Callithrix jacchus: one gene and its partners. The protein of the gene in region 3 interacts with the protein of the main gene of each other region in a pairwise test. Links are inferred from orthologs where the notes say so. Each region holds a gene or a part of one and is shown on either strand. Other genes may lie near its edges. The genes, in order: CDK1, STAT1, EGFR, YWHAZ, PDK3, PTPN12 and MAPK8.

Region 1 (4,173 bases), on a different chromosome or scaffold from region 3:
GCTATAATAAAAACAAAATGAAGGAAAAAAAAAAGGTCTCCTTTTATGCCAAACTGCAATCAACACTAATTCTCTGAAAATTTAAGAAACATACTACAAGGCATTAGACATACTTATCACATATTTGTAATTCAGCAGCAAAATTCATTTAGAATGGGTATGAATTAGGTATTTAAGTGATTAAAAAATATATACACACACACACACATCCAATCTACCACTACACTAACTTGTCATTCCTATTTCACTAAATTCCCTCCAGTATAGCCCCATTGTTTTTTATTATTTCTTCCCAAGTGGAGTCTTTGATCACATTAAAAATATAGTTGGGAATTTTCTTCAGCCAGAACCTATACAAACTGGACTCTATTAGCAAATTATTTTGTTCCCGGAGAATTGAGAATGTCAAAACTCCTGGAAAGAAACTGGGATGTTCTGTTGCGGGACTCAAGGGGACAGGTTAAGGGATATGATTTGTGCCATATATAGAGCTAAACATTCCTTCAAGTATCACAGAAAGGGAATGATTATATACATAAGTTATAGTTTTAGAATAGATTAAACACCTACATATGACAGGTCATTTATACTTAAGGTAACTAAATATCAAAATTAACTTAAGTCAAGACTGACTTAATAGAAGATTAAGTCAATTATTGTAACCAGTCTAGAAAATCTGAATAAAAACATTTATCATCTTAAAAATAACTGAGACTAAAAATATATTATGAAATTAGCATAATGCTGCTGCCCTAACCTCTGTCCCTAAATACATGTACAAGTTATCAACAGTGTCTTCAAAACAAGAGTAATGCTGTAAGTGTTGGGTATCAGCAGAATGTAAGACTATGGGGGTGAGGGGAAGGATCATTAGGGACTCAATAATTTTGATTCTCTTGAAATATGAACAAATTTGTGTTTAAGTTACTATGTAAACAACATATATTAATATACATTGATATTACAAGACATCTTAGTCGTTAAATTTTAACAAATATTTACATGTGTTCATATTACAGAAGTTGGTGGTAGCATTGTTAAATCATTCTAAAAAATGTTATATTACTAAAGCCACTCACCTTCTCCAATTTTCTCTATTTTAGTATAATCTTCCATAGTTAGTCAATAGGTATGGTAGATCCTAAAATGAAGGGAAAAACTGACTTAATTACATGCCACTAACTCGAGTAGTTTTAAGTATTGAGATACTATATATAAAGCATTTTCCACAATGCATACTGCAGTATAGTAAATATTCCATAAATATTAATTACATTCAAATATTTACAAGGGTAAGAACTCCTACAATAACTTTCCATCCTTCTTGACTCCTGAGACATTGGAAACATTTGTATATTCCATCCTAGTATAGTATTTAGCGTCTTCCAATCAAAATAACCCTCAAATTCAGAAATCAATTTGTCTGTTCTTTCCAAACAAAAACCAGAATGTTCCCTTTATTTGACAATTTAAAGTAGTACCAGCATGTACCAAAGTTATACCGAAATTTTTTTTGTTTATACCGAAATATTTCAACAAATTTATACCGCTTTATGATATTCCTAACATTATGCAAAACACGGTTTTTTAAAGATATAGAACTAAAATGTGTTCAGACTGTTCATTAGGAAGATTGTGTTTAAAGCGGCAAAAACGTGTAAGTGTTTACAGTTGCCCACGTGACAATTTTAATCTTTTTCCTTTGCTTGTAGAGGTCACAGAAAAACATGCTCAAGGCTTTCAAGATACTTTTTGCACGAGTAGGAAATACCACTTAAGCACGCTAAAACAAAAGAATGAAAAGTGCAATTCTACAGATAAATTATAATTATAGCCTACGCAATTTCAAGGACCAAGCAGAAACGCTGTATACTTGAATCACAATGAATGGTTAAAAAAAAAAGAGCTGACAATCAGAAGTTCAAGACTTCCTCTTAAGTTTGCCAATGAAACGTCAGAAGTCCAGGCATAATTACTTCGATTTTTCTAACACGCATCCCTGACGATAAAATCATTTATAAATACCACTCTGAATAGATTTTTAAGTTCTATTTCTCATTCATCTTCAAAGAAAAATCAATCCAGAAGGAAGCCGAGGTATATTTCTAAATGAAAACAACAACAACAACAAAAACTGCACTACACTGCTCTTGAGTGTTGAGTGCCTGGGCTGAGTGTTCTTAAAAACTCCAGGTGGGCCGGGGCCGTGGGCAGAGCCAGCTCGAGAAGGCCCACGAGTCCCGGGAGCTGTTTCTCAGGGCGGCCTGGCTTTAGGAACCTGCGCCCGTACCTGGCCCAGGTGCGGTGCCGCTTGCTCACCCCCGAGGCAGGATGGGAGGGCGCGCAGGGGGCGGGTGCAGGAAGGAGCCGGCCACTTCGCAGGCGCTCACCATAGGGGAGCGGATTGTGCTTCAACCTTGACCCGAAAGCCTCCCCAGTAAGTTTCTGAGAGAAGCCGACCTCGAGCCCTGACTGCAGGCAGCCCCAACCGCCACCCCCACAACCCCGGCTGGGCTCCGTCAGCCTCACTCTAAAGCCGGCCCGGTGTGGCTCACATGCCCAGGCCCCGGCCCAGGAGAAGGCCCTGCCTGCCCTCCAGAGACCCAGCCTGGCTCTGCGCAGATCCCTGCTCCCCAAGCCCGGCCTCCTATGAGGACTCCGTTCCTCAATACCCAGCCTCTGAGGCCCCTGGGCTCAGCCTCTAGGAGCGACCCCGACACCAGCCACTCTACCCGGCTTATTATCCCACGGCGGCAGCAGAGGCAACTACCACAGCCACGTCGCTTTCCGCTCAACTTCCAAGAGCCAGCTTTGAAGCGAAGTGCGAGCAGTTTCAAACTCGCCGCGCTAAAGGGTCCCAGATCCACCAATCAGGTAGCCCGTAGACTTTCAAAGCAGCCAATCAGAGCCCAGCTACGCTTGGGCAGGCCTCGTGGGTGGGTAGAGCGCGAAAGAGAGAGGAAAGGGCGGCTGGAGAAAAAGCAGGAGGGCGGGCGCTCTCCAGCCCTGAGAGTGTCGTCCTACTGTTTCTAGTCAGCGGAGCGGGAAGCTACTACTTGCTCCGTTCTTTTTTTTAGTTTTTTTCTCCCAGCATTGCCACAGTTCAAATTTATTACACTCAAAATAGCTCATCACTCAAAGCAAAAAAGGGATATTGTGTTTACATCCAGATTCCATTACTTTAACATCTAATACTTAGGGTAAGCAGTGTATAGTTACGTTTTTCTAAATGCGTGATTTGCGGGCTGGCTCCAAAGAGCACATTTCAGCCACCTTAAGAAGAAAATGGAAAACTCAACAGACCGCCTCAAAAATGTAAAAGAATATTTATTATTTATATCGTTGTGCTTTGTTTCTACTTCGTTTGAATTTTAATTTATTATTTACATTTTTGTTTAAAACATTTGAAATGTTTTAAATTTTAAAATATTTTCACATCAGAATTTTAAATATATAGAGAGACATATATTTAGAGACTGGGTCTCATCACGTTGCTTATTCTGGCCCCCAACTCCTGGACTCAAGCAATTGGCCTCAGCCTCCGGAGTAGCTGCGAGTACAGGCACTCGGCACAACGTCCGGTTTCACGCCCGGCTTAAATATTATGAAAACACAAAAATTCACAATTGTATGAGGGAAGAAAAACAGACTTAAATTATGCTTTAAATAATACAGTGTCAAAAACGCTGTCTTCAATGCCCTCCACAATATCCTTAAGAGCGATTTCTGCACTTACTGCACTTCAATATCTTTTTCCCTCCCTCTTTTCCTTCCTTCCTTCCTTCCCTTCCTTTCTCCCTCCCTCCCTCTCTCTTTTTTCTTTTCTTTCTTTCTCTCTCTCTTTCTCTCTGTTTCTCCCTTTCTTTCTTCTGCTTGTTTGCAGAGACAGAGTCTCCTCATGTTACCCTAGCTGGCCTCCAATCCTAGGCTCCATGGATCCTCCTGCCTTGGCCTCTGAATGTGCTGGGATTACAAGTGTAATCACCAGCTCAACCTAAACACCATTCTGACGTCTTTTTAAAATAAGTAAATAAAACAGAGCTAGACGTAATGAAAGTCTCCATTTTAAGGATTTTTAGTTGCATTGACCCTAATAGGACATAGAACAAAGACTGATTGCCACACCCACTACAAATATGTATTAGAAGACCCAAATTAGGATATGGAATGGAA
Region 2 (4,264 bases), on a different chromosome or scaffold from region 3:
TAGCTTTGTCGAGACACATGTCATTTTTTAAATCAACAAACTTTTCTACAACAAATAATCCCATTGATGAAATTCACCTTCCAGTAAACACGTTTCCAAGTCACTTAATCAACAAGGTTTAGTTCCTTACCAGTCTTGCTTTTCTAACCACTGTGCCAAGTATTGTCGGATTTCCATGGGAAAGCTGTCATCATAAAGCTGGTGAACCTGCTCCAGGAATTTTGAGTCAAGCTGCTGAAGTTCATACCACTGAGACATACTACAGAGAAAAAGAATATACATTCTTTGTATGTATATGGAAGACCCTAGCTTCAAAGAAAACCTTCCTAGCATCAGGTTGTACTCTTAAATATCTTGCTCAATCCAAAACATAGTTTGTTCTAGGAATATTTTATTTAAATCGCATTTATAGTCTAAAGCCTGTTTTTAATTGAGTTTGGGAATCAACCTTTTTTCTCCTCCATGAAACACATCTTCAGGCCTTTGCTTGTTGTACAAATAACAGTACATTTCTAATTTAAGTATTTTTAAACTATTTTATATTTATGATATATTTTATATCAGGGCAGCCTTCTCTGGCCTCCTTATTTAAATGGCAACACCTACCCTGTAAACATGCTGTCTCCCTTCCCTGGTGTATTTTTATTTTTCGGCATAGTACTTACACCACCATCTGACCTACCACATTTTAAATTTTGATTATGGTCTATTTTCACCACCTGAAGGATGGATGTTGGAGAATTTTGTGCACTGGTGTATCCCCAGAACAATGTTAAGCACGTAGTAAGTATCAAATAAATACACCTTTAAAATGAATTTGCTATTCTATCAAATAAATACATGAAAAACATTATTTTAATTAGATTTGCTTTAAATTATAAGACTCTCCCAAAATTGCTCTCCTACAAATAACAGTACATTTCTAATTTAAGTATTTTTAAACTATTTTATATTTATGATGCATATGGTAAAATTCATTATTTTTGTTACACACATTTAAAAAGATGTATTTTCTTCTTTGCCCACTACAAACAATAAATCTGGCATAAAGTAGTAATGATTTTTAAATATTAAAACAACATCATTAAATGTATTTAAAAGGATAAAGTAACACATCTCTTTGAGTAACTGTTAAGTCAATTTTTATATAGTGATCAAATTTTTTTATATAGTGATCAAATCACATTTTTATATTGTGATTAAAAATCACAATAAAAACTTGATATAAGGAAGTCCTAAAATTCATTAGGAAAATGAAGAGTCTCCACGACCATCATGTAACAGGATTTATGTCAATATGCTGGCAATATGCAGAGTAGACACAAGTGAATCTTGTCCTGCCAGACCTCTGGGGACGGGGGTCTGGATTTTCAAGTAGGGCATGGAAGAGTGTGTGCTACTTCACCCCCACCCCACCCCAACTTCATCCGTCAACAAAGCAACCCAGTCACCGAATTATTTACTGTTTTTCAAGTGTACCCAACATTTCTGCTTTTCTCCAGCTGCCACTTGCCCTTGCAAACATCCTCTCTACAAATTGTTGCATCTCTAAATCCTACAGCAGTCAAAGCTATGTACAAAAGCCCCTTCTTTCATAAAGTTGACTTACTCACAATTAAGCTTTCTTTGACTTGTGCCTCACTGAATCTGTACCTCTATTAGAGCATTGGTTCCAGTTTTTCTTGCAAAGTTCTGTGATGCCTCCAGAGCCTGTGGCGGGGAAGGTGGGTGGAGTGGGGGTGAAGTAGCAGGGGTATTTTCCTTTTAACCTCTTCTGGACCTTGGACAGTGCCCTGAATATACTAGATGCTCAAAACAGTTTGTTGAATTGAAATCTTGTATATTTCAGACGGAATTAGAAAGTAAAAAGCAAATCATATTTTGATGTCACAAGTGTGAGTCCAGCATCCTCATTAAGCAACAGTTGCACAATGAATTGTGCTGGAGGCTCAAGTCCTATTTCTGTTCTATAAAAACAACTCCCTATCTGTACAAACAACATTCAAAGCACAATCGACCACACATCTGCATGCCTACCCCAGAACTCTTCAGTGCTGGTCAGAATTTTCTTTAGGAGTAATTATATTATCTGGGGTGGGTGTGGGGTCTGCAAAAACTAAACATCACTTTTGAACTACAGGAAGACATTAAGCTCCTCCATCTTTAAACACAGATACATAATTAAGATACCGAAGTCATATACTCATTCATTGGATCCCATGAACATTTACTGACCTGCCACCTTGTGCCCCAACAAGGGTCTGGGGATTCAACCAAAGGATCAGCTACATATAGCACGTTAGGTGCCAAGACTGTTGAGGTTGCATGCACAGAGTGCGAGCGTTAACCTAGACAGCTCTCGAGGATGGCATACAGCAAATGATACTTCCTGCGAAAAGAAGAAAATGTGACTGATGGAAAGGGGCGGAAACGGGAGAAAGTGAGCGTAAACGGGAAGGTGCAGTGACTTCTAGAGGAAAATTCTATTTCACAAGTCCTCTTTACTGCCAGAGCACGACTAGCAAGGGCAATCGTGCTGAGCAGTGCCATCTCCGAAAACAGATGGCACTGCTCGCACTTGAAATACTGGGAAGCGTTCTTTCTCCGGGATCACGGATTCGCCGATCAGCACTGACAGCCCATCCTCGCCCGGCGGCCAAAGGCACGGCCCGCGGACTCGGTCCCGGGGCGTCCTACCCCTGCACCCGGAACCCGGAACCTCACGGCCACTCACTTTGCGCGCAGGATCCGGAAGGGCTAGGCGGGGACGCGGCGATGCAGCCTCTCCGGCCGCGCCGTGTCGCCTCTGCTGGGTCTGGGGAAAGGCCAGGCGCGGTCCCCCGGTACAGCCAAGCCCCTCCGCAGACTCTGCGCTGGAAAGCGAAACGACGCTGCAAAAGTCAGCGCCCGCACCCGGCCCCCTTCCGCCCGCACCAATCACCACGCGGTTCTGCGATCAGCCAATTGGACGCGGCTGTTCCGCGGGCGCTGCCGCCTCCCTCTGCAGGCCGCTGCTCCTCCCGCGCTCCTGGTGTTTCCTCTGGCTTTGGGCCGGGCCGTTGCGTGGGCGCGCTGCAACCCAGTCCCGCGTTGCCACGCTGGGGACTGTAGTTGTGTTTACATATCTTAGAGAACGACTAAAAGGACGCGCTATGTTTGCAGAAGCCCAAACTTGGAGGTCTCTGTATTGAGTTTTACCACCGAGAATTCAGGCAGAGGACAGATTTGGCGACCTCGTCATTCTAGAAGCTCCCTTTAGCAACTGACCTCCATGTTGCTAATCCCAGGGGACACTTTTCCGTTGTCTTCACTTTACTTGACTGCTCCTAAGCATTGGGCACAGTTGACGCCTTTTTTCTTGAAACACGTGTCTTCCTTGGTCATGATGACAGCATGATAGTCCTTGCTTCTTCCTGCCTCTGGCATTCTTTCTACCTCCACCTCCACTAACAAACTAATGTTGAGTTGTCACGGTCCAGACCTTGGTCAGCTTTATGTAGGCTTCTCCTCAACACTGTTGTGAAGACCTCACCCACAACTTCAATTTCCTTCTAGATGGAGGGCTCCTACATGCTTATCTTGTCTACACCTCTCCTCTGAGCTTCACACCTACACCCCCCACTTGCCTCGCCACTTCTATGTGCAGTGAGCTCTACAGACTATGTTCAGAACCAAGCTCACCTTTCTCTTTAAACATGCTCTTCTAGAAATGGCACATGTCAGAGAGCTAGGATTCATGGTTGACATTGCCTTCTCCCTCACCTTGCCACACCTGATCCTCAACCTTGTTGATTCTTCTTCCTAATTCCCAAGTCTCATTTACTCTGCTCCATCCCTTTGGCCGCCTCCCTTTTCTCTCATTCCCATTACTGCAGTAGATTCCCAAATGGCTGCCTCACTTCAGCCCTTAGCTCCCTTTTAATCCATTCTCCATACAGCCGTTTGGTTTTTTGTTTTTTGTTTTTTGTTTTTTTTTTAATTGAAAAGCAGATCATGTTATTTGCCAACCTGAAAATCCTACCATGGCTTTTCTTGGATCTTATAAAATTTAGTTTCTTAATACATATTATAAAGCCCTGGTTTCCTGATCTCTTTCTCTAACCCCATAATGTACAACTCTGTTTTGCTTACTTCAGCATTTAGTTCTTCAAATAAACCAAACTCCCCAAATTCAGGGTCTTCTCACCAGTGGCTCTCTATTTGGAAAACCCCTGAGACAACATCTGCTTTACCCAACTTCTTTGCTGGCTAACTCATCTCTGAG
Region 3 (4,362 bases):
CCTGGATCGCCTGAAACCAGAACTCTGACGAGGCAGTGGCGTTTGGAAGTTGAGAGAGGCATCTGGAGTCGGAAGGCCTGCATGTGAATTTCACGCTGCTGCCTAGCAGCCTCGAGAAAGTCACTTTAATCCTTTGTACCTCAGTTTCCCCCATAGGAGGGGAGCGCATGCCTCTTATGCTTAATGTGAGGACTGAAAGGATGCATGAAACAGTGTGTGGCAGTCTTTTGCTCTAAGAGCAGCAAGCCCAGAAGTTAGCATGTCCCGGAACCAAAGTGCACCTTGAACAAAACCGACTGAACTTGATAGACACAGGCCTTCAACAAACTTCTGCTGAAAGAGCTCATCTCCTATTTTAATAATTGCCCCTGAACATTCAGTCTTTTATGTCACCGTAATGGAATAGCGTCTGTTCACCTACTCTCTGTCGTCTTCAGGAGCATTCTGTTTTGGGTGAATATGGGACCAACAGGCAAATTAAGTGGTATTTATATTTTTCTTAGGAACAAATCTCCAGCCACTAATACAGGTGTTCAAGCTAGTAACATCAAAGAACAAGAACACCGCTGGAGGGAGGAAAGTGATGCTTTGGAGGTGCTCTGCATGTTTAATTTAAAATAAAGAGAAGAGTCTCTGCTCTTCCGCAGAGACAGGGCTGGCACCTGACTCACAGGGTCGCGTAGGCTCAGCAGAGGAGGAATCTTTCCAAGAGTTCCTTCAGTGAGAAGAGAAATCCTTTATTATTGGAATCACACCCTACCTTTCCCCTCTTTCCTATATTTGGCAAGATTGTTAAAACTCCAGATGTCCTCAAAGAGCTCTTTGCATTGGCAAGTAATCTCTCCGGAGACTTTAACAATCCTTCTTCCGTGCAGTGATCCCCAAACCTGGCTGCCCAACAGATCACATGAAAAGCATTTTTAAAAATACCATATCCAGGTCTTGCCCCATGTCAATTAAATCAGAATGTCTGGGGGTGGGAGCCAGACACTGGTTTCTGTTTTGGTTTTAAAAAATCCCAGGTAATTCTAAACTGCAGCAAGGTCTGGGAACCACTGTTCTATGCCTTGTCCCTCCCCCAACAACGGCGCTGGGCACCAAACCCCAACGCCTCATGCCAGTGACATCAACAGCAAGTACGGGCCTGGCTCCTGGAACCCGCGCAGCTCAAGGCTGGAATTGTGCAATTAAACCTGAGGCATGTTTCCCATGTCAGATGGGTTTATGAGGGTAGTCACGAAGCCAGACTCGCTCATGTTCTGTCTGGAGACTTGGCACACGTGAACCAGGGACATCAATCTGGTGTGTGTGTGTGTGTGTGTGTGTATGACAGGTTTAATATTTTGGTTGGCCCAATGTCAAATTCTTCAAACGGCAAAGAGAAACATCCAAGAAAGAAACTCCCCGGGTTTTGAGAAGGAAAGTTTGCTGTGAGCCCCGTTTTGAAACACCGTGGTGTGGCCAGGACCGGCTCTGCTCCTTGAGCTTCCGCGCAAGAGTCCCGCGGTCCCCCTCTGGAGTGGCCGGACAGCCGCGTCCCGTTCCACCGCGAAGCCCAGGCTCGACCGAAGGGTTGCAGGCGTGGAAAACCCGCGACATGGCCACCGAACCAGAGCCCGGGGCTTTCGGGGGGGGGCGCCCCGGAGGGAGGTCGGGTCCTCAGCGGGACACACCTGGACCGGCCGAACTAGAGCGCGCCGGGCGGGGCGAGCCGCCGGCCGGGGTCTGCGCCCAAGGGGCGGGTCGGACCCCACCTGCCTTTTGCCAAGGAGGAAACTAACCGCCGCCAGCACCACCCCTTCCCGGGAGCCGCAGGTGGTGGCAGACGAGTTCTCCCAGCTCCCAGGTGAAGGCTGCTACTCCACACCCGGGAACGAGGCTCGCGGGGACCCGGAGAGGCGCCGGGGCCAGGCTGACCCACGCCGGCTTCAGCGTGAGACTCGCGCGGAGGGCGGAGGCGGGAGGTCAGCTCAGGAAGCCGCCTGTCCCGCGGGGTCCGAGGGGAGGCTGCATTCTCGGGGTCCTTCCTCAGCTTCCCTAAACCGCGCGGCCCTGCGGGTGGGCAGCGCTGGCCCCTCGGGTGCGCGTTCCGACCCCGCCGTGCCCTGGGAGGACAACGCGGGGCGCCATGCGGGACCCCGGCTCCCGGCGCCCACCGGGCCGCGGACGCCGATCCCGCGCAGAGAGGCGGGAAAGTAAGGGAGAAAAGTTGGGAGCGGTCGGGACCGCAGGAGGTGCCAGCTGCCGTTCTCCGCCCCGCCCGCAGCCCGGTGCCCTCCCCGTCTCCTCCTCCGCCCGCCGCGGACTCTCCCGGCCAGGGACGAAACGTCCCGTTCCTCCCGCGGTCCCGGCCGGCAGCGCAGCTGATCTCAAGGAAACAGGAACGGACGGGCGGGGGCGCGGGCACCGAGCCGGTGCGCCGGTGCGCGGCTGGGCTAGCTGCGGGGTCCGGGGCGCGCTCCGGGGGCGGCTCGGGAGCCGGCGAGACACGCCCTTACCTTTCTTTTCCTCCAGAGCCAGACTCGCTGGGCAGAGCGCAGCCAGCAGAGCCAGGAGCGCGGCCCCTGCCGTCCCTGAGGGTCGCATCGCTGCTCCCCGAAGAGCTCGCTCCGACGCTCCTGGATCAGTCCTGGACGGAGTCAGGCGGCCGTGCGCGGTGGCTGTGGCGGCGGCGAGGCGGGGACTCGGGCGGACGCCGCCGAGGTGGGTTGTCGTCCCGGCTGGGCGGCGGCGGCCCCCGGGACTCGCTCGGGACTCCAGCCGCCTTGGTCGCGGAGGGCTCTCACACCGTGCGGGGGGCGGAGGCTGCTGCGGCCGCGCGGCGCGGGGGCTGCCCGGACGTCTAGCTCGCGCGGGCCGGGACGTGGGGAAGGCTGGGCGGGAGGAGGAGGGACCAGGCGGCGGAGGAGGGATCGGGAGGAGCGGAGGAGGAGGAGAATGCGAGGAGGAGGGACGAGAACCAGCAGCAGGGACCCAAAGCCAGCGGCCGCCGGAGGCGGTGGACAGCGGTGACCCCCGCGGGACCCGGGCTCCGGCAGGAAAGGGGCGGCGCGTGGGAGGGGAGCGGGTGCCCTGAGGAGTTAATTTCCGAGAGGGGCGTTCCCAGCACTGCTCCTCTGGACTCAGTCTCCATGGACTTGCAGGCCCAGCTTATGCTGAGATGGAGCCAAATCTGTGCCAGGGTCCCCTTCCCCCTTTCCCTTCTTTTGTTTTACAAAGCAAACTTGTACCAGCTTTGGACAGATTGGCCAAGCCCTAGAGCCAGCGTCGGATAATGGCACCGACGGGGAAACTGCTCTTTTATTCTGGTCCCCACCTCCCCTGCAGCACCCTGGGACCCTCCCAGGGCTCAGAGGCTGGCCTGGCAGCTGAGGCGGTTGCCGTGCCTGTGCAGCAGGAGTGCCAGGCGTCCGAGGTGCTGATCCAAAGTCCGAGGGTCCTTCAGATCCCGTCAAGCACCCTCGAAATTGAATGAAATGAGGGTACCCAACTCCGAGCTCAGATACAGGCCTCCTCAATGTTTATTGTAACCGACCCTGGGTAATTTGAGCCAATGTGTGAGGCACAGTACTTCGCAAAAGGGAAGCTCTTGGAATAAACGCTTGACACAAACAGCCGTGGAGATACTTTTAGAGAGGCTAAGTGTCCCACTGCCCTGGTAGCTCCCACAGGAGAAATGCCAGGGAAATTCGCAGAGGCTTTGGCCGGAAGAAACTGAGCTGCTTTGGGCTGCAGGAACTTGAGCTACATTCCTTCTGCAAGTGCACCCTATCCCCACTGTTCCTTCTCCTACAGGAAAAATGCCCTCTAGGTCCATGTTACAGACCCCTCCTCTCCACAAGGTTCACTAGGACTTTCCGGCCTGATTCAACAACCTTGATCTCCCGGCTCTGTCAAGAACCACACTCCTGAAGTAAGTGGAGCCCTTTGCTGCCCTTTGCTGTCCCTGGAGGGGAGCAACCTTGCTTCTTTCCTTCCCATCCAGCAAATTGTCTGTGCCAGAGTTTCACACCCTGCAGCCTAAACGGTGGGGTTTTCAGCAGGGCAAGCGCAAACTCCTCACCGCCGACTCCTCACTGCCAGCTCCTCACCGCTGCTGCAACCTGGAACTTCCCCTGTGAATCAGGAGAAGTAATTTGTTCCTTTGTTTTAACCAATCAGGACAGCCACTGCAGGTTGAAGTCAGCCCCTGGATGCAGAGGCTGTGACGGCTCTGCAGGCACGTGTGTGCTTCCTCCACATATGCACACCTGGGCTGAGAGCAGTCCATAAAGAAACAAAGAAAAAACAAAACCAGGGAATGGCAAACGGGAAGCACAACAGCGGAACACAAAATGAAGACAGGAGTGAGTTTGACAATAA
Region 4 (4,055 bases), on a different chromosome or scaffold from region 3:
CCAAAAGCTGCCTTAAAAAACTACCCCCAAAATCTCAACTCAATTCCAATACCACTAAGTGATATAAAATTAAGCAGCTTTTCTTCCTTTTGTAAACGTACTGCTTACAGAACATGTGGATTTCTATCATACTTCCAGAATCGTAAGTCAGTTTAATGTAATTTATGTCTTTTAACTTTCATAATAAGGAGTGATTAAATTTTAGTTTTCCCCTCATTCCAAATCTACTAGATCTCTGTAACATTTGCCAGCCGTAATAGCATAACACTTTAGGGGAGGAATAGCCAAACTGCTTGTTCTCAGATATTTTTACTGTAAAGCCACCACAAAGGACCAACATCTAACCGACCCTAATGCCTCAACTCTTTATCGTGTTGTATGTCCACATGCTTTAAAAATACCCACGAGTCATGGCCCTTCAACTATTACTGTGAGTACTAAAATACATCACATTGGAAGTGCTTAATTTACAAGTGTTTGCAATGTCATGGCTCCAGTTGCAATGTGTAAGTGCCGCATCCTGCTTCTAGCTGTCACCGTCACAATAACTGCATGCTATCACTCAAGCTGTCCTTTGCCGTGACTACCCACCTAACTCCTTCCCTCACATAGTTTCCTAGACCTTTTCAATTTACCTCAGCTACATTTTTCTGGAAGGACATCCTTTTCAAAGTTGCTAAACAGCACAAAGACACTAATCCACACAGTGAGACCGCAGAATAAACGACTTTAGAGGAAAATATACACATAAATGAAGTGTATATTTTAAATTAGAAGGTGAACAGAAGAGCTATTCTGACCCACCCACCTTGGGAGCTGACTCCCGAATATTAATTACCTTTTACCTTCCCAGGGAAATCCCACAATACTTTTTTAACCAAATGAGAGAACATGTCCTCACATTTTAAGCAAGTAATTAGCTAATTTGGATGCAAGGTACTGGCTCACCCATAAAAATTATTTAACCTTTATGACGACATGCTTTTCCTCAGGTCTCTCTATTATTAATTTTTCCCTTAGGAACTGAGACACGCTCTCTGGCTAATTCTGCTTCTAACGAAAAATGATTTCAAACCAGCACAAAGGATTCTCTCCCCCACTACTTGGGTACAAGAGGAAGTGGATAAGGTTTCTCACACAGTAACGATGGCTCCAAGGCCTCGCCTCTACACTGCGGGCAGGACTCACCGCACCCATTTAACCCTTACCTGACTTGAGACATCGGTTAGGGTGAAAAGAAAACGGGCAGACCCGGACTTTAAAGTGCAAATCCTCGGGTCCGCGTATCTGCAACCACCCCCCTCCAGGCTCCGCCCAAGCCCGAGCCTCCGCTCAGGTCCCCGACTCTCCTCCTTTGTCATGGCGGATCTGTGTCAGGGAGCCCAACCTACTGCTGAGTGTTAATTCCCCCCCCCACCGGAGCAAGGGGGAGGAGCAGCCGGCGCCCCCGCCCCCGCTCGAGCCGTGGGGGGAAGCCAAGCCACCCGACCCCGGGGCAGAGACGCCAGAGACGCCCGCAGAAGCGGAACCACTAGCAGCCTCACCGCGGACACACCCCGCCTTCCCACCCAGCGCTCTCCCCGCCACCGATCAGCGCCGGTGCCCGCGTGCACCGTCCCTAAGGGCCCGACAGCTGCAGGTGGGGGAGGGGACGAGAGCCACACCCAGTCGAGCGGGCCACCGGCGGCCGCTCTGCTCAGGATCACTGTGCGTCCCCGAAGCGGCGGAGGGACCCTCCAGTTCTAGTGACTCCGGCGCGAGAGCCTATCGCGGGATCCGCACCCCGCTCTACCCCAACCTGGGCTCACAGCCCCAGTCCGCGCCTTCCCCGACGGTTCATAAGGAGGAAAGAAAATCATCCCCATCCCCATCCCCCGTCCCCACCGAGAAAATTCAAGCCCTTCCCCCCACCGCGGAGCCCAGGAAATTCAGCTCCAGGTCCCAGGCGAGCCCCACCCCACAGCCTCCCCCCGCAGTGGGCTCCCTTCCCGCCGCCGGGCCGGGCCCGGGCTCCTGTCCGCTTCCGCCAGGCCCTTCCCTCCCGCCTGTGTCCCCGAGGCCCCCGGCCCCTCCCCGCCGCGCTACCTCCTCCCGGGGTGGGGGAGGGCCGGGTCCCGCCACCGCAGCGCCCAGCGCGGAGGCTGCGCGAGGGGGAGGGAGAGCGGGGGAGGGAGAGCGGGGGAGGGGAAAGAAGGGGCGGCCGAGGGACAGGGGAGGGGGCGGCCTCACCTGCGCCCCCGCGATGCCCGCCGCCGCCGCCGCCGCCGCCGAGTCATTATCTCGGGCGGAAGCGAGAAGGGCAGCGAGGGCGGGGGTAGAAGCAGAAACAAGGGTGGGGACGAATCGCGGCCGGCGGCGCCCCGGCCATGCCTCGTCCGGCTTCGGGAGCAGGCGACGGGGGATCCCCGGGGATCTCGCGTGTGGGCGCCCTCCCCACCCCCGGGAGCGGGACGGGGGAGCGAGCACCGATCGGGGCCGGGGCGGCGACGCGGAAACCAGGCGCGGGAGGCTGCCGCTAGCCGCCCGCCCGAGCCCAGCGGAAGAGGAGCCGCCGCCCGTGTCTGCCGGGGAGACTCCGCCTCAGCCCCGCGCCGCCACCGTGGGGCGAGCGGGGATGAGGGGACCCGGTGAGGACGGCTCCCACGCGTTCAGAAGGCTGGCCTGGGACAGGAGGAGCGGGGAGCGGCGGCGGACGGGTTCCTCACCTGTGTCCGGAGTGGGTGGAGGCGGCGGACGGACAGGGGCTCAGCAGTCTCTGGGCGGCGGCGGCGGCGGCAGCGGCGGCAGCGGCGGCGAGGCTGAGACTCTGTCCCTGGATCTCGCTGCTCACAGGCTACAGCCGCTCCGCAGACACGGGGTTTCCTCCAATCACCAGCCCCGGCAGCAGGGGCACCACACGCACGATGACGTCAAACGCTGCTATGGCAACCGTTGATTAGTGCCCACAGCGATCTGGGCCTCGCGCAACCGCCGCTCCCCGGCGCGCGTCCTGCCCGCCCGCGCTGGAGGGCGAGCGGAGGAGCGCGCGTCCTCGCCCGCTACGGCCACTCCCCCACCCGGCTCGGCTCCCAGGTCCTCTACGCTTGTCCGGAGTGCACCTAGGCGGGAAGCTTCTGTTTTTCTTTTCCTCCCCAACGCAGATCCCCCCGACTCCTCGCCTTCCCCTTAGGTCCCCGACGTCCTCTCCCCTGCAGCCTCCACCGGCCCACTCTACCTCTGAGCCTGTGGGAAGGCAGCTGTCTCCCTACCCCTACCCCCACGTTAGCTTTCGCTCAGCCGGTCTGCGCTTGCGCCAGTCACTCCTCTCACTCCTCTGGAAGGGGCTCCAGTTCAGCAACATCCGGGACCTTTCACATCCCCCCCACCCCGCCCCCCTCCCCGAGGCCCGGCCCGCCCTGCCCTGCCCTCGGTGCTTCGCGGTGGTCACTGTCCCAGGGCCGTCCCGGGGCAGGATGACGAGTGTGGGTCGGCGGCTCCGGCATTGTGATCAGGACTTGCAGGGTGGGGGCCCTGGGGCGAGGACAGGGCGCGGTCGCAAGGCAAGGGAGGGCTGTGTGTGGTGTGCTCCCCTTGCTCGGCTGGGTCGACCAGGGGGCGCGGCCGCTCCCTGCTTCCCTTACGCCGCCGCGGCTTTACCTGCTGGCTCCGGGGAAGTGGCCCTAGACCTTTTATGGCTCGGAAACGGGAGTGTGGCTGAGTGATGGGGAGGTGTTCCAATCGGGAGCTCGGGATCTGCGCTCGGTGACAGCGAGAGGGGACAATGGGTGGGCACCGAGATGGGGCGAGGTGGGCCGGGCCGGGCGGAGCCGGCGGGAGGTCAGGCCTGGAAGGAGGCGCGGCCGCTTTAGGGAAGCCAGAGTGCGGAGGGGAAAGGATCGCCTTCTCCGGTGGGGGGCTGGAGCTGGTCCTGGCACAGCTGACCCGGAGACGAGCAGTCAGGCGTGACCGCACGGGCCTGTTTCTCGTAGGCTAGGTTTTCCTACCCAAATAAAGCGTTCACGTGAAGAGCTCACACTGCAGTGATTTAAAACGTGACTATCATTACCGTTTTGTCT
Region 5 (3,575 bases), on a different chromosome or scaffold from region 3:
CTCAGCCTCCTGAGTAACTGGGATTACAGGCATGCGCCACCACGCCCAGCTAATTTTGTATTTTTAGTAGAGACAGGGTTTCTCCATGTTGGTCAGGCTGGTCTTGAACTCCTGACCTCAGGTGATCTGCCCGCCTTGGCCTCCCAAAGTACTGGGATTACAGATGTGAGCCACTGCACCTGGCCTGTAGTTCAGATATTTTTAGGGATTAAAAAAATTTTCAGTACTATCCTATATCTCTTCATCATGGAACCCTGATTGTCAATAACAGGTGTTCTAGGTTGGGAAAAAAAAGGTCTCAGGTATGGACAAGAACAGTAAGAATTGAAAGCAAATGTAATACTGTTTGTGGTGGTAGTGGGGCAGGGTGGGGAAGGAGGTGCTGTAACACCAAGCTTCCTCACTTCTGGTTAAATTTATGAACAAGGTTAAGGAAGGAAAGCAGGGAAATCATGTGCAGAGTTGCCTTAGGCTCAGAGAGACCCAAGTTGAAATCCACTTTCTGTGTCACTCTGAGCAGCGTACTCAACCTCTTTGAGGCCATTTTTTTCATCTGAACATATAATACAAAGCTGACCTCAGAGCTGCTATAAGGATTAAATGATATAACAAGTATAAAATCTTGGCACAGTGGGTCCAAAGTGGCTCCCGCCGGAGGTCGTGGCGCTTGCAAAGGCGAGGTCATGAGTTCAAGGCTAACCTGAGCAAACTTATAAGCTCAAACTGATTGGCAAAAAAAAAAAAAAAAAATCTTGGAACAGTAAAACTAAATAAATGGAAGCTGGTACTATGGATAGTAAGGGCAGCAATTTTATGAAGTTACATTGATTTCTGCCATTTTCTAACATCTGTCCGTGATACCTTCCCTCAAGGTAGGGTCTAACTGAAAGGGCAGGGGGTGAAAGAAAGTACCCTATCCTTTAAGGGCTTTAGGACTAGCTGAATATGCCCAATAGTGAAGATGAGATATCTATAGTAGTGACTCAGGTAACCACAGCAAAGAAACCAGCTCACTCTAGGAAGAGACATGAGAAAATCTGCCTCCTGTGCTCATGCAAGGCCCAAAGCCTGCCCTCATGCCCAGCACAGAACAGCCAACAACTCCGAGGCCAATGTAGTTGTGAGTGTAAGCCCAGACTCCCAAGGAATGCAGAGGAGAGGTCTGGACCTCAACCTCGAATTTGCTGAGGTTCCTGAAAAGTTTCCTAGAGTGTCAGAGGATCAACAGGAGTTCTCTGGGTGGATATTCTCGAAAAAGAAATGCACGTTTCAAGGCACAGAGGTGTAAAAGCGTAAGTTGCTCAATGAAGAAATTATGTTTTTTAGTAGTACATACTCATGTGCCCACTTTAAAGCTGAGAACAGTTTCTTTTTCTTTTCTTTTTTTTTTTTTTTTTGAGACAGAATCTCACTCTGTCACCCAGGCTGCAGTGCAGTGGTGTGATCTTGGCTTACTGCAACCTCTACCTCCTGGGTTCAAGCTATTCACGTGCCTCAGCCTTCTGAGCAGCTGGGACTACAGGCATGTGCCACTGCTCCCAATTTTTTTTGTGTATTTTTAGTACAGATAGGGTTTTACCATGTTGGTCAGGTTGGTCTCAAACTCCTAACCTCAAGTGATCAGCCCGCCTTGGCCTCCCAAAGTACTAGGATTACAGGCCAGTTTCTTAACTGGGAGAGCCAGTAGCGGAAGCATTTCTCAAAAGGAGAGGCCACCTAGTACACTGGAAAGAACACAGACATGGCCAGTAACAGCTCTGTGGTTAATCAGCTCAGTGACCTTGGGGAAGGTCATTTCCTCACCTATACAATGGGAATAAGCATTCATAATTTTTAAAGGTCTCTTACAAGTCCTCAGGTTTATTCAGAAAAAAAAAACCTATTACATAATAGCTATCCTCAAGATTCTATTTTAAGACCTGGACAAGACAATCTATATTTCTCTTAAACAACTAGGGAAGATTCTAGATTTGTTTGTAGTGCCTTTTTTCCTTTTGATGTGTATTTCAGTGTATACCAGAGCCTAGTCAAGACAATGCCTCTCAAATGTGATCTTTCATGAATTTTCTCGACTCCTATATAAATGATTTCCTGTTTCCAACATGCTGAGTTAACAAACTCTGTCTCAAATAAATGATGCAAAGTCTTTGATTTTATTCTTACAAATAAAATATAATCTTATATGCTTATCAGTCAGGTAGGACTTTAAAATGAAACTTAATATATACCCTGAACCATTTTGCAGACTGATAGATATGTTGCTGTGTTTAATGACAAAGGGTTCAATTGTTGTTTGTCAATTAGAAACACTCAGCAGGGGAAGAAAGTGTGGCCCTACCAGGATCTAAATGCTACCATGGCAACCAGAGGCTTTTCTCACTGCCTTAATAGGGCTGAAGGTTATTTCCAGAGTGAGACAGAAAGGGCTCTGAAAATGCATACACCACCTGTATGTTTCATGCTAATGTTATTTAATATAAAAATTTAATGTTTTCATAATGTAACATTTTAATTATATAAACAAATTTGACAGTGGAGATTCCCAGGCACTAAGTGATTCGTGCCTCTGTGGTGTGCATGCCAGAGTACACAGGACCAAGCAGCAGCTATGCATTCGGTACTGTCCTTTTGCTCACCCATTGGCAACTTCCACCCCTTCCAAGGGTAGCACAAAGTGAAAAATGGTGCTCCAGTAGCAGTCTTACCACAATGAGGTACTTTTTCTCTGTGTCTGGGAGTGAGGCACTCAGCTTGGAATGTTTCTTGGACACAGATCAGAGAGGAAATCCAAGTCCAAAGGATTCACAAAGAAAGTAGCCAAGGCAAAACATTCTCCCTCCTCCAAACCGTAATACAGGCAACATTCTAAGTCAACCACACTAATGCGACAATCTGGGGAGAGAGGCAGCTCCCTCTGAGCCCCTTCCCATGTTTATGATCTTTCCTTCAGTAGCAGTTTCAGACGCTTACCAAAGGGGCAGCTCTGGTAGGCTCCAGGCTGGGTCTAGGAGCAGTCGAATACATGTAGTTAAAAAGACGATCTATTTTTCGAAGTGGGACACCACCACCTAGGTCACTGATCTGCAGTGCACAAAATGTTAACAGTCAAAACAAATAAGTTGATCTATACTTAGTAGGAGGTAATGGGTTCATTAAATAAAGTACATCGAAGATTACTCCAAAATGTACAAGGGCTTTGAATCCCCTAGTGACATATGGTTCCTCTGTAAACAGTGTAAAACAAAGGAGACTGAATGGTATTGTAGGATCTGACAGGCGTGGTGTTGAGGTCTTGCTCAACTCCCTGAATAACAAGGTTCTAATGAAGTTCAAATAAGGTACCTCAAGCCAAGGATCTAGCATAGAACTTACAAATAGGACACTCAATAAATGTCAATTTTCTTCCCTCTGAGTTTTCAATGTCTAGATACTATTAAATCACAACTGATAATTAAAGTATACATGCACATAAGACAGTTACCTTAATGGATAAGTCTTCTTTACCCAAAGTAACAAGGGTTTTAACAGCAGGGTAGGCCTCTTTTTTATCTTGATAGAGTTCGACTGTTGCTCTC
Region 6 (4,333 bases), about 50 Mb from region 3:
TCATCCACAAAGCATGAACCCTAAGGCTACTTCCCCAGTATAGGAGTTCAGAGGCTGGGCACCTGTCCTGATGGCCTGCATCACCAAACAATGCTCCTTCCTGATAGGATATGCCTAGGGATAACAAGATAACTAGCATGCAAACAAGAAATGACCAGGGACCACATCATCTCTTCTTCCATAACCAAAATAAGATGGTAAAATACTAGTTTTAGGCCAGGTGTGGTAGCTCATGCCTGTAATCCAAGTACTTTGGATGGCCAAGGCAGGTGGATCACTTGAGATCAGGAGTTTGAGACCAGCCTGGCCATTATGGCTAAACACCATCTCTACTAAAATACAAAAATTAGCGAGGCATGGTGACTTGCCACCTGTAATCACAGCTACCTGGGAGGCTGAGGCAGGAGAATGCTTGAACCTGGGTGGCGGAGGTTTCAGTGAGCTGAGATTGTACCACCGCACACCAGCCTGAGTCGCAGAGCGCAGAATGAGACCCCCCTCTCAAAAAAAAACAAACCAACGTTTTAGAAAGTGGTAAAAAAGGGGATGCCATCCAATTACCATAAATGACACCATTCAAAAGATATCAACGCAATGAAAAACTCTCAACAGTAAAAAGGGAAAATGCCCTCTTAACCCTTTCAGATCAAAAAGTAATTTTTCAAAAGTACGGTAAATATCAACAGCAAATGTTTAAATATAAGGAATATTTTTATTTTTAATAAGGAATAAGTTAGATTATTTAACTTTTATTTTCAATCTTCAAAAGATACTGAGAGAACTTTACTTCCATCCTCTATTATTGGTCTGGGGATGCAGGAATCACAAAGCTCAACGATACTACTACTATAATATAGTGTTAAGGTCAAGGACCTATTTTATAAGCTGTTAAAAATTTAACGCTAAAGCTTTACTAGACCGAAATCTCTTTAAAACGTGAAAAAGTATTTCACTACTAAGTCATATCACCTGTACCATAAAAACTACTGCACTTTTAAATAAAAACTAGCCAATGTTTGCTGCCCATTCATTTTAAAGATATTAACTGTGTATCCTTTTCATAATCCAATTTCAGAGTTAAGTCATTATTCTTGGAGGTTTATCTTATCCAGAATAAAAATTTTCCCTAGCTGTTTTCCTATTCCCAATCCCCACCAAGGCTAAGGAGCAACCACTTCCCAAAGTCCCACTTCCTTTTCCATTCCCCAGACCTACAGGGTTTCCAACGCCCCAGTCTTGCGCAATATCCGTAGGAGCAGCAGCCGCAACCACCGCCTCCTAAGCCGGGAAACAACCCTAGAGGGAACAGTGTCCAGCAGAAAATAAAAGAGGCGGGGGTGGGGGGTCGATAATGTAGGAAGTCGACTTCTGGTCCCACGCCTTCGGATCTGACCCCCTCATAGTGAGCTGGAGCAACAGCGTTATCTAGACCAATTTCACGAATAAGACTTTTAACCTTCACCTCCTCTCAAGCCTGCTTGCACAAGCAGAGGGCGGAAAGTGGGGGGCGGCGGAGCGAGGGGGGGCACCGGGAAGGTTATCTCCCAGTTCAGGGCTTCGGCCCTTAGCGTTGCCTCCGCCCCACCAGGACTATTGTTCCCAAGTTCCCCACCCCCACCCCGGATAGGAAGTGATAGTCACATCCCCTCCGCCTTCGGCAACATCCCCTGGGGAGTCCGAAATCAGCTTCCTTCAGGATAATCCCCCCCACCCACACTTACTCCCTGAACCTAGAGTCACTCGGACCCCCAAGACCACTTCAAACCTGGGTCTCAGGAGAGAAGACGCGGGTAAATGCAAATTAGGTAAACCCATGAGATTCCTTATGGACAATCCTTTCCCAAGCGTTGGAGATCATGACTGCACCGCCAGAAACAGAAGTCCTACTTCGCCCGCTTTGAGACCAGCTGGAGCAAAGGGACCCCAGGAATTAGTGCTAACCTCAATCCCCCCGTCCCCTGTCCCTCTGTCAGTCGCGATCTGCACTCCTCCGGGTCACAGCCAGATCCTGCCTCGACCCTCCAGGGAGGAGCGGACTGGGCGGGGAGGTGTGGAAACGCGAGCCCCCTCCGTCCCGCCGGCCTGCACCTCACTAGCCTCCGGCTCCCGACCGGGTAAACAATAGGTGGTCGCGAGCCGCGGTGCAGGCTGCGGGCTCGGCCGCGCGGCCGCTCCCTTCGCGTCCCGGGCGCCCGCGCGTGGGTCGCGAACACGGGAGAAGAAAGGAGGCCGAGGGAAGGAGAAGGTCTCGCCTCCCGCCGGCTTCCGAGTCCACCCGTACCGCCGGGTTGGTGCGCGCCCCCTCCGCCGCTCTCCTCACAGAGGTACACAAAGCACTGGCGGCCGGGCCGGGAGAGACAGTGATGGGCTCCGGCGCCGGCGAGACAGGGCGACAGCGAGGGGAGAGACTCACCATGAAGTCCCGGGCGAAGTTGTCCTCCCCATTGTGGTCGGGACTCTTCATGGCCTGGACCCTCTGGATGAATTTCCTCAGGATCTCCACTTGCTCCATCCTCCCGCGTCCCCCCGGTTGCGGTCGCTGGCCCCCCCGCCGCCCGCCCGCCCGGCGCAGAGCCCGCTCCGTCTTCCCCAGCTCGCTCCCCCAGCACGTCCCTCCCTCCCGACCCCCGCCAAGCCCCGCGGCTCCCTCCTCCTTCCCACCGCCCCAGGCGGCGGCTGCGGCGGCACCGGGGATCGCGACACCACAACTTCCAGAAGCAGCCGCCACTCTCCCACAGTACGAGACAAGCCGCTGCGGCTAGCGCCAACCCCAACCCCCAGCTTGCTCCATCCTCCTTCCCCGCCCTCCTCCTCCGTCGTAGACGACGCCGCCGCCGCCGCCGCCGCCGCCACCTCAGGAACAGAGCTCTCCGCTCGCCCTGCCCCCCCTTCCCGGTTCTTCCTCCCCCCCCACCCCCCCGCCAGCAGCCGCAGCCGCAGCCGCCTCTCCCAACGGGCGCGTCCCCGCCGCCACCCAGATGCGCGGGCTCGCGCTGCGGCTCCGCCCCAAGCGCTGCGCCCGCCGATCCACCCCCGCCCGCCTCCAGGTCACGCCCCCAACCCCGCCCCGCGGGTCCCAGCCCGTCTTGGAGTGGCTGGAAGGCGCTTCTGCGGGCGGCCTGGAGACCTGACTCCATTTCCGGGGCGTGGCCCCGTTCGGGGTGCTCAGAAGTCGGAGTAGCATTGGGAGGTGAGATGGTTGCCCAGTGAAGGGAATGCGACTCTGAGCCGGGCAAGTCCTAGTCGGTGAGAGTAGAATTCTGCTGGAATTTGCGGTCTCACCGCCTACTAAGGAGGAAAAGCAATTTTCAAGAGTCCCACGCCGCCGCCAGCCGTAGGCTCGGACTACAAGTCGCGGCCTGTGGAGTCCAGGAGCCGGGACAGGCGGGGACGGGCCGGGGGCGGGCGGGAGGCAGGCCGGGAACTGTAGTAGTGTCACCGCCACGTTCGCAGCAGGTAGGTGCTCATTTTGCTAACATTGCTGAGAGTGGACAGCAGTTAGGCTTTGGCACCTTGAACGTGGCTCCAGCGAAGGGAAGCGAAACGCTTCCTGGGTAACAGACTTTTATTCTTTGCGCATTCTCTAAAACCTGGCGACTGAGCGCCTGAGGTTCGGAGTGCCTTCTTCACAGACGATGCGGTAGTGGGAACTCTTGTGTTTGCCGAACTGAAGGGAATTTGTCTTCCTGTCTTTAGGTTCACAGCAGTTCAGAAATGAATGGGAAACTTTTCCCCCGTAGAACAGACTTTGTAAATCTATTAAATCTTTATAAATCTTTTTCTTTTTTCTTCTTTTTTTTAATGGAGCCAGCCAAGGTCTTGCTCTGTCGCCCAGGCTGAAGTGCAGTGCTATGATCACGGCTCCCTGCATCCTTGAACACCTGGACTCAAGGGATCCTCCTGCCTCAGTACGTCACCAAGCCCAACTAATACATTTTTTTAATTTATATTTTTATTTTTGGTAGAGAAGGGGGTCTCACTAGGTTGCCCAGAATGATGTCGAACTCCTGTGCTCAAGGGATCTTCACCCCTCGACTTCTGAAATTGTTGAGATTATAGGCGTGAGCCACTGCGCCTGGCCTATAAGTCTTTATTCATCCTTGTAAACTTCTGTCAGAGAATGTATTCTGGTCTAACTCATCATTTTACAAATAAAATGGCTTTCTGACATCCCCCAGCATATTCTTAGCAGAGCCGTAACTAGAACACAAGTTATTTTACTTTAACAACAGTGACCTTTCACAGTGTGACAGAACTGAAAGAACTTGACCTGTGAACTGACTTAGGTCATTTATACCCACAAACTTTTTTTTACAGAGCACAGTGGTCAGGG
Region 7 (4,374 bases), on a different chromosome or scaffold from region 3:
AATTGCCTTTCCAAATGGCATTTCCCCCAGGATCTAAAGGAATATGAAGGATATAGTTTCCAGGACACTTAAAAGGAGCCCTTTTCATACTTATTAAAGGAATATATTTACTAACAGAATCGATGCTATATTTCTTAAAGCATAATTTGAACTGGAATTCTGAGTGACTGCTAATGGGTATAATGCCTCTTCTTTGGGTGATGTTCTGGAATTAGTGGTGGTGATCAATGCACAACTTTGTGAATATACAAAAGACCAATGAAATATATATACTCTAAAGGGTGAATTTTATGATATGTCAATTAAATTACAATAGAGCTATTTTTAAAAAAACAACAATTTGGAATACAAAATAACATAACTCTGGTTCTCTACATAGCCTTACTGTGAGCTACTGCCAAAGGTTTGTCAGTAACCCCCTACTAGAATATGACATACTTTAGGTAAACCAATGAAAGTTTGGTATCTAAAGGATTTTCATCCCTTATCTTTAAATAGTATCATTTTCTTATTTCTTCATTTCTACTTTACATCAAATAATAAGCTCATTAATTAGTTCACTCATTTCGTATTCTTTCAAATCCAAAACAAATGCTACACTGTATTAAATAGTGAAAAATAACTTTAACTTGGATAAATCCATTATTTTGAGTTTTAGGCTCATATTTTGTGCCAATAGTATTAATACAAGTTAGAACTTAAAATCAAACATTTCAAGTAAACATTCCTAAAATATTAGAAATTAAATATTTCTAATAAAACATTTATGTGGTTTCTTTTGCCCTTACTTTTCCACAAAATAAGTGTCACCAAAAACCTTTCAAACAATATTCACAAAATGATAACTGCAATCATTTTAGACCCCTACTGAGATATCAGTTTATGTGTGCCTGTGTGTAGATTACGTACATACACACACAGACATACATACACTAGTACATACACGCACACACCCCACAACCTGCTTTAGTTTATTAATCATATAAAAAAAACTTAGACAAGATTTTATTTTAGGAAAATTAATGACCTACAAGTGATTCAAAAGCCCATGTCATCGTAAAAGATAATGTACATGAACTGATCATTCAGCCATCTGAAGCAACAGTAGCATGAAGCTTCCAAAACTTTATGGAGACCATTTTTTTAAAGTTTGATTTAAAATATTATCAATTATAAAGAGCTTTTCATCAATCCGACTTTTATTGAACACTTACTATATTCCAGGCTAGGTGGTGGAGAAAGAGATGCAAGACAGGCCTGCCCTCAAGGAAGTCCCATTTTGATTGCTTGCTTTTGTCAGGCACAGCACTAAACATGTTCACTTAGAGCATCTGACCTCCTAGGTTTAACGTTAACCACAGCAGGGGAATCTGAGGTAACCATTACAAATGACTGTAAGGCTGCAAGACTGGAAAAAATAAAGTTTAGAAATAAAAGCTGTTGTATGTTTAGACCAAATCTAAGTCTACTTCCTAATATTACACTTGTACTTCCAGATATACTGCTTAAAAAATGACCCAGAATATAACTATACCTTCCTTAGCAGACATGACTTACATAATTGTCTCATTTAAAGGTCCATCTATTGTACTTCAAAGCATCCTCTTCCATGAAAGGATACTTCTCTTTACCTTCAAATCAAACCTCTTCATCTGGGTACGCTACTAAACAGTTGCTGAATGAATGAATGAATGAAAAAAACAGATTTCTAATTGTCAAGAGGGTACTCGCTGGATGCTTATCTCAAAACACAATGGACTGACGGACCAGAATTCTGCTGGAAAAATCACTGAATTTCAGAGGTAAAAATAGTAATCACTGGACAATGCCATGTAGTCAACATATTATTAAATTCGCAGTAAAGACCAGGCGAGGAACTTTCGGGAATAAAAATGAAGTGTTCATCAGGGTACTTTAAAATGGCCTTGGTTCTACCATCTCTGAATTGGGAACACAAATGTGAGACAAAGAGATGGGAGGGCGGGGTGAAAAAGTCAAAAGGTCACCACCGAGTGACCCCCAAGAGAAATGCGCGCTGACCACTGAAGCTCGGGCCGAGCTGGGTGGACACCTCCCGCCCAAGCCACCGGCCTGAGCTCTGCCTCGCAGCCCAGAGCTGAAGGCCACCCCGGCCCTTTTCAGCGCTGCTGCCTGCGTTCGCCCAGAACGTTAGCACAAAGAAACCACCGAGAAGCAAAATACGGTCCCCATGGGCTCGGGGCAGGCTTGGGGACCCGGCGGCAGGAGCGCTCTCCTCGGCTCCTCGCCGCCCGGGAGGCAGCCAGGGAGCGGCGGGCCGCGGAGATGCCTCCGTCCGACCCTCGCCGAAGTGTTTCAGAACTTGCCACCCACCCCCCGCTCCATTTTCTCCTCCCGACTCGGAGGCAGGACCCGCGCAAGGAGGACGCGAGAGGACAGGCGGGCGGGGCTCACGGTGGCGGGCGGGCGGACAGGCGGCCGGCGGAGCGCGCTCAGGTCCCGCAGCCCCACGCCCCCTCGTCCGGCCCCCGCCTCCGCGCCGCTATTGTTCCCGCACCGCCCCCGCCCGCCGCGCGCTCTCGTCCCCACTCTCGGGAGGGGGTCACGGCTGAGAAGGCTGCGGCGGCGACGGCACAATAACATAAACACGGCGGGGCCGCCGGCCGCCCTGGCCCTGCGGCTCCCGCCGCACTCACCCGGCAGCGCAGCGAAAGGCGACAGGGAAGCCCGCCAGCGGAGACAGGGGCCGTCCGGGCGGTCGCCGCGGCCGCTACCCGGCGCAGCTCGCGGCTCAGCTTTCCGAGCCGCGTCGTCCGGCCTCAGCGGCTCCGCTGACTAACAGGGACGCGGGCCGTCACCGCGCACGCCCGCCTACGTCATCGCGCAGGGCCCTGCCCCCGCGCTTCCCGAGCGGCCTGCGGGGCGGGGCAGCCCCGGGGCCCGGATTGCGGGGGCGGGGCGCCGCCCGAGGGCGGGGCTACTCCAGTGGGCCGAGGGACTTGCGGAGGTGGCCTGGAGGCGGAGCCGCGGGGAGAGCCTCCGAGGGCGGTGGTGAGGGGCATGGCCAGGAGCGGGAGGGGCGGGGCCCTGAGGCGGCACGTGTTGGCGCGTGGCACCAGGGGACCGCGTCTGGCTGGCACCGGTAGCCAGGTCCTTGCTTAAGCCTTCGGGCCTCGCTGGCACAGGGTTGAAGGGCAGGTGCGCTTAGGCCAAATATGCCCGGCGAACAGGCACTCTTCCACTCCATACACATCTGAGCGATGAAAAGCTGTTTACCTTGACCAACAGTAGTTCCATTCCGAGGACACCTGTCCGGGTCCCAGCAACCCACAGAGAGATAAGTGTTCTCTTCACCTGCCCTAGAAAAGCTGCCTCCTGTTTTCCCAAAATCCACGTCCTCCGAGATTCCTTGCAAATCCAACTCTTCCCAGATGCCTTGCATTACCTGGCTTACCTCTGAGGCACCACAAAGCGTGTAAATGTTACAGAAGCGATAAATTGACGAGCCCTTTAAATATCCAACAACGGGTGGAAATTACCTACATCAATTCGGTAGAATACATTTTAGCAATTTAAAGGCCATGTGTTCAAGGAATTCTTAACAACATAGAAAAATGTTCACAATATATCATTAAGAGAAAGAAGCACAAAACAGGTCTTATATATAGAATGATCCCACTTAGATACTATATATACACATAGAAAAAACCTGGAAAGAAATACACCAAATTATGTTAACAGTCGTTCATCATTGGACTATGGAATAAAGGGTGACTTGGTTCTCTTTCACACTTTGGGTATTTTCTCATGTTTTCCGAGAATAATAGTTATGTTCACAATCGGAAACAAGTAAGTTACTTTAATAATAAATATATAAATATTTACATATTTATATATTTTTATAAATATATCTATAATGATTTGTTTTTATAATAAATATAATTTTTATAAATATTATATATATATGTATGTTGGGCTGGCCTGTTTCTGGTGATTCTGAAAAGGAACATACAGGTGATTATTCATTAATTCTCATCCCAGTTTCTCTCTCCCTCCTTTTCAACCTTCTTAATTTCCTGCCATCCTTTATTCCTGCAATAATTATTTATTGCATGCCCATTCAGTGCCAGGCAATACAATAGAGTTTACAGATTTAATCACTGTGCTATCAAAGTAATAGCAGTAAACACATGCAAAATTATCACTGTCTTATAATACAAATTGTCAAGGATACATAATATTATGAAACCAGTTAATACACTAGTTAATAGGGGCAGAAAAGATTTCCCTGAGAAACTGTCACTTGAGCTTGGAATGGGTTTGACTAGGCAGAGAATATTTTAGAAGTAACTTTGTATGCAAAGGTCCTGTGAAGAGATTGAGCAGGATAAACTG

What was found.
Region 1: the proteins of EGFR (region 3) and CDK1 interact in binary tests that used the Homo sapiens proteins (3 or more experiments, as listed by UniProt). The link is inferred for Callithrix jacchus from reciprocal best matches to the Homo sapiens genes EGFR and CDK1.
Region 2: the proteins of EGFR (region 3) and STAT1 interact in binary tests that used the Homo sapiens proteins (3 or more experiments, as listed by UniProt). The link is inferred for Callithrix jacchus from reciprocal best matches to the Homo sapiens genes EGFR and STAT1.
Region 4: the proteins of EGFR (region 3) and YWHAZ interact in binary tests that used the Homo sapiens proteins (3 or more experiments, as listed by UniProt). The link is inferred for Callithrix jacchus from reciprocal best matches to the Homo sapiens genes EGFR and YWHAZ.
Region 5: the proteins of EGFR (region 3) and PDK3 interact in a protein complementation assay, tested with the Homo sapiens proteins (2 studies listed by BioGRID and IntAct). The link is inferred for Callithrix jacchus from reciprocal best matches to the Homo sapiens genes EGFR and PDK3.
Region 6: the proteins of EGFR (region 3) and PTPN12 interact in binary tests that used the Homo sapiens proteins (3 or more experiments, as listed by UniProt). The link is inferred for Callithrix jacchus from reciprocal best matches to the Homo sapiens genes EGFR and PTPN12.
Region 7: the proteins of EGFR (region 3) and MAPK8 interact in a protein complementation assay, tested with the Homo sapiens proteins (3 studies listed by BioGRID and IntAct, with this or other methods). The link is inferred for Callithrix jacchus from reciprocal best matches to the Homo sapiens genes EGFR and MAPK8.

The regions. Positions count from the first base shown.
Region 1 is NC_133513.1:69,676,612-69,680,784, forward strand, and holds the start of CDK1 (cyclin-dependent kinase 1), read right to left. Parts: upstream 2,826-4,173; 5' UTR 2,673-2,825; intron 2,310-2,672; exon of another isoform or gene 2,291-2,309; intron 1,142-2,290; 5' UTR 1,117-1,141; coding exon 1,080-1,116; intron 1-1,079. UniProt on the Homo sapiens protein: Plays a key role in the control of the eukaryotic cell cycle by modulating the centrosome cycle as well as mitotic onset; promotes G2-M transition via association with multiple interphase cyclins.
Region 2 is NC_133507.1:37,793,408-37,797,671, reverse strand, and holds the start of STAT1 (signal transducer and activator of transcription 1-alpha/beta), read right to left. Parts: upstream 2,873-4,264; 5' UTR 2,735-2,872; intron 2,390-2,734; 5' UTR 2,236-2,389; intron 260-2,235; 5' UTR 259-259; coding exon 131-258; intron 1-130. UniProt on the Homo sapiens protein: Signal transducer and transcription activator that mediates cellular responses to interferons (IFNs), cytokine KITLG/SCF and other cytokines and other growth factors.
Region 3 is NC_133512.1:22,474,951-22,479,312, reverse strand, and holds the start of EGFR (epidermal growth factor receptor), read right to left. Parts: upstream 2,845-4,362; 5' UTR 2,587-2,844; coding exon 2,499-2,586; intron 1-2,498. UniProt on the Homo sapiens protein: Receptor tyrosine kinase binding ligands of the EGF family and activating several signaling cascades to convert extracellular cues into appropriate cellular responses.
Region 4 is NC_133517.1:96,015,906-96,019,960, reverse strand, and holds the start of YWHAZ (14-3-3 protein zeta/delta), read right to left. Parts: upstream 2,838-4,055; 5' UTR 2,706-2,837; intron 1,360-2,705; exon of another isoform or gene 1,209-1,359; intron 1-1,208.
Region 5 is NC_133524.1:25,264,566-25,268,140, reverse strand, and holds part of PDK3 (pyruvate dehydrogenase kinase, isozyme 3), read right to left. Parts: coding exon 3,482-3,575; intron 3,082-3,481; coding exon 2,971-3,081; intron 1-2,970. UniProt on the Homo sapiens protein: Inhibits pyruvate dehydrogenase activity by phosphorylation of the E1 subunit PDHA1, and thereby regulates glucose metabolism and aerobic respiration. Can also phosphorylate PDHA2.
Region 6 is NC_133512.1:72,591,862-72,596,194, forward strand, and holds the start of PTPN12 (tyrosine-protein phosphatase non-receptor type 12), read right to left. Parts: upstream 2,863-4,333; 5' UTR 2,513-2,862; coding exon 2,414-2,512; intron 1-2,413. UniProt on the Homo sapiens protein: Dephosphorylates a range of proteins, and thereby regulates cellular signaling cascades. Dephosphorylates cellular tyrosine kinases, such as ERBB2 and PTK2B/PYK2, and thereby regulates signaling via ERBB2 and PTK2B/PYK2.
Region 7 is NC_133513.1:40,582,610-40,586,983, forward strand, and holds the start of MAPK8 (mitogen-activated protein kinase 8), read right to left. Parts: upstream 2,828-4,374; 5' UTR 2,676-2,827; intron 1,409-2,675; exon of another isoform or gene 1,215-1,408; intron 1-1,214. UniProt on the Homo sapiens protein: Serine/threonine-protein kinase involved in various processes such as cell proliferation, differentiation, migration, transformation and programmed cell death.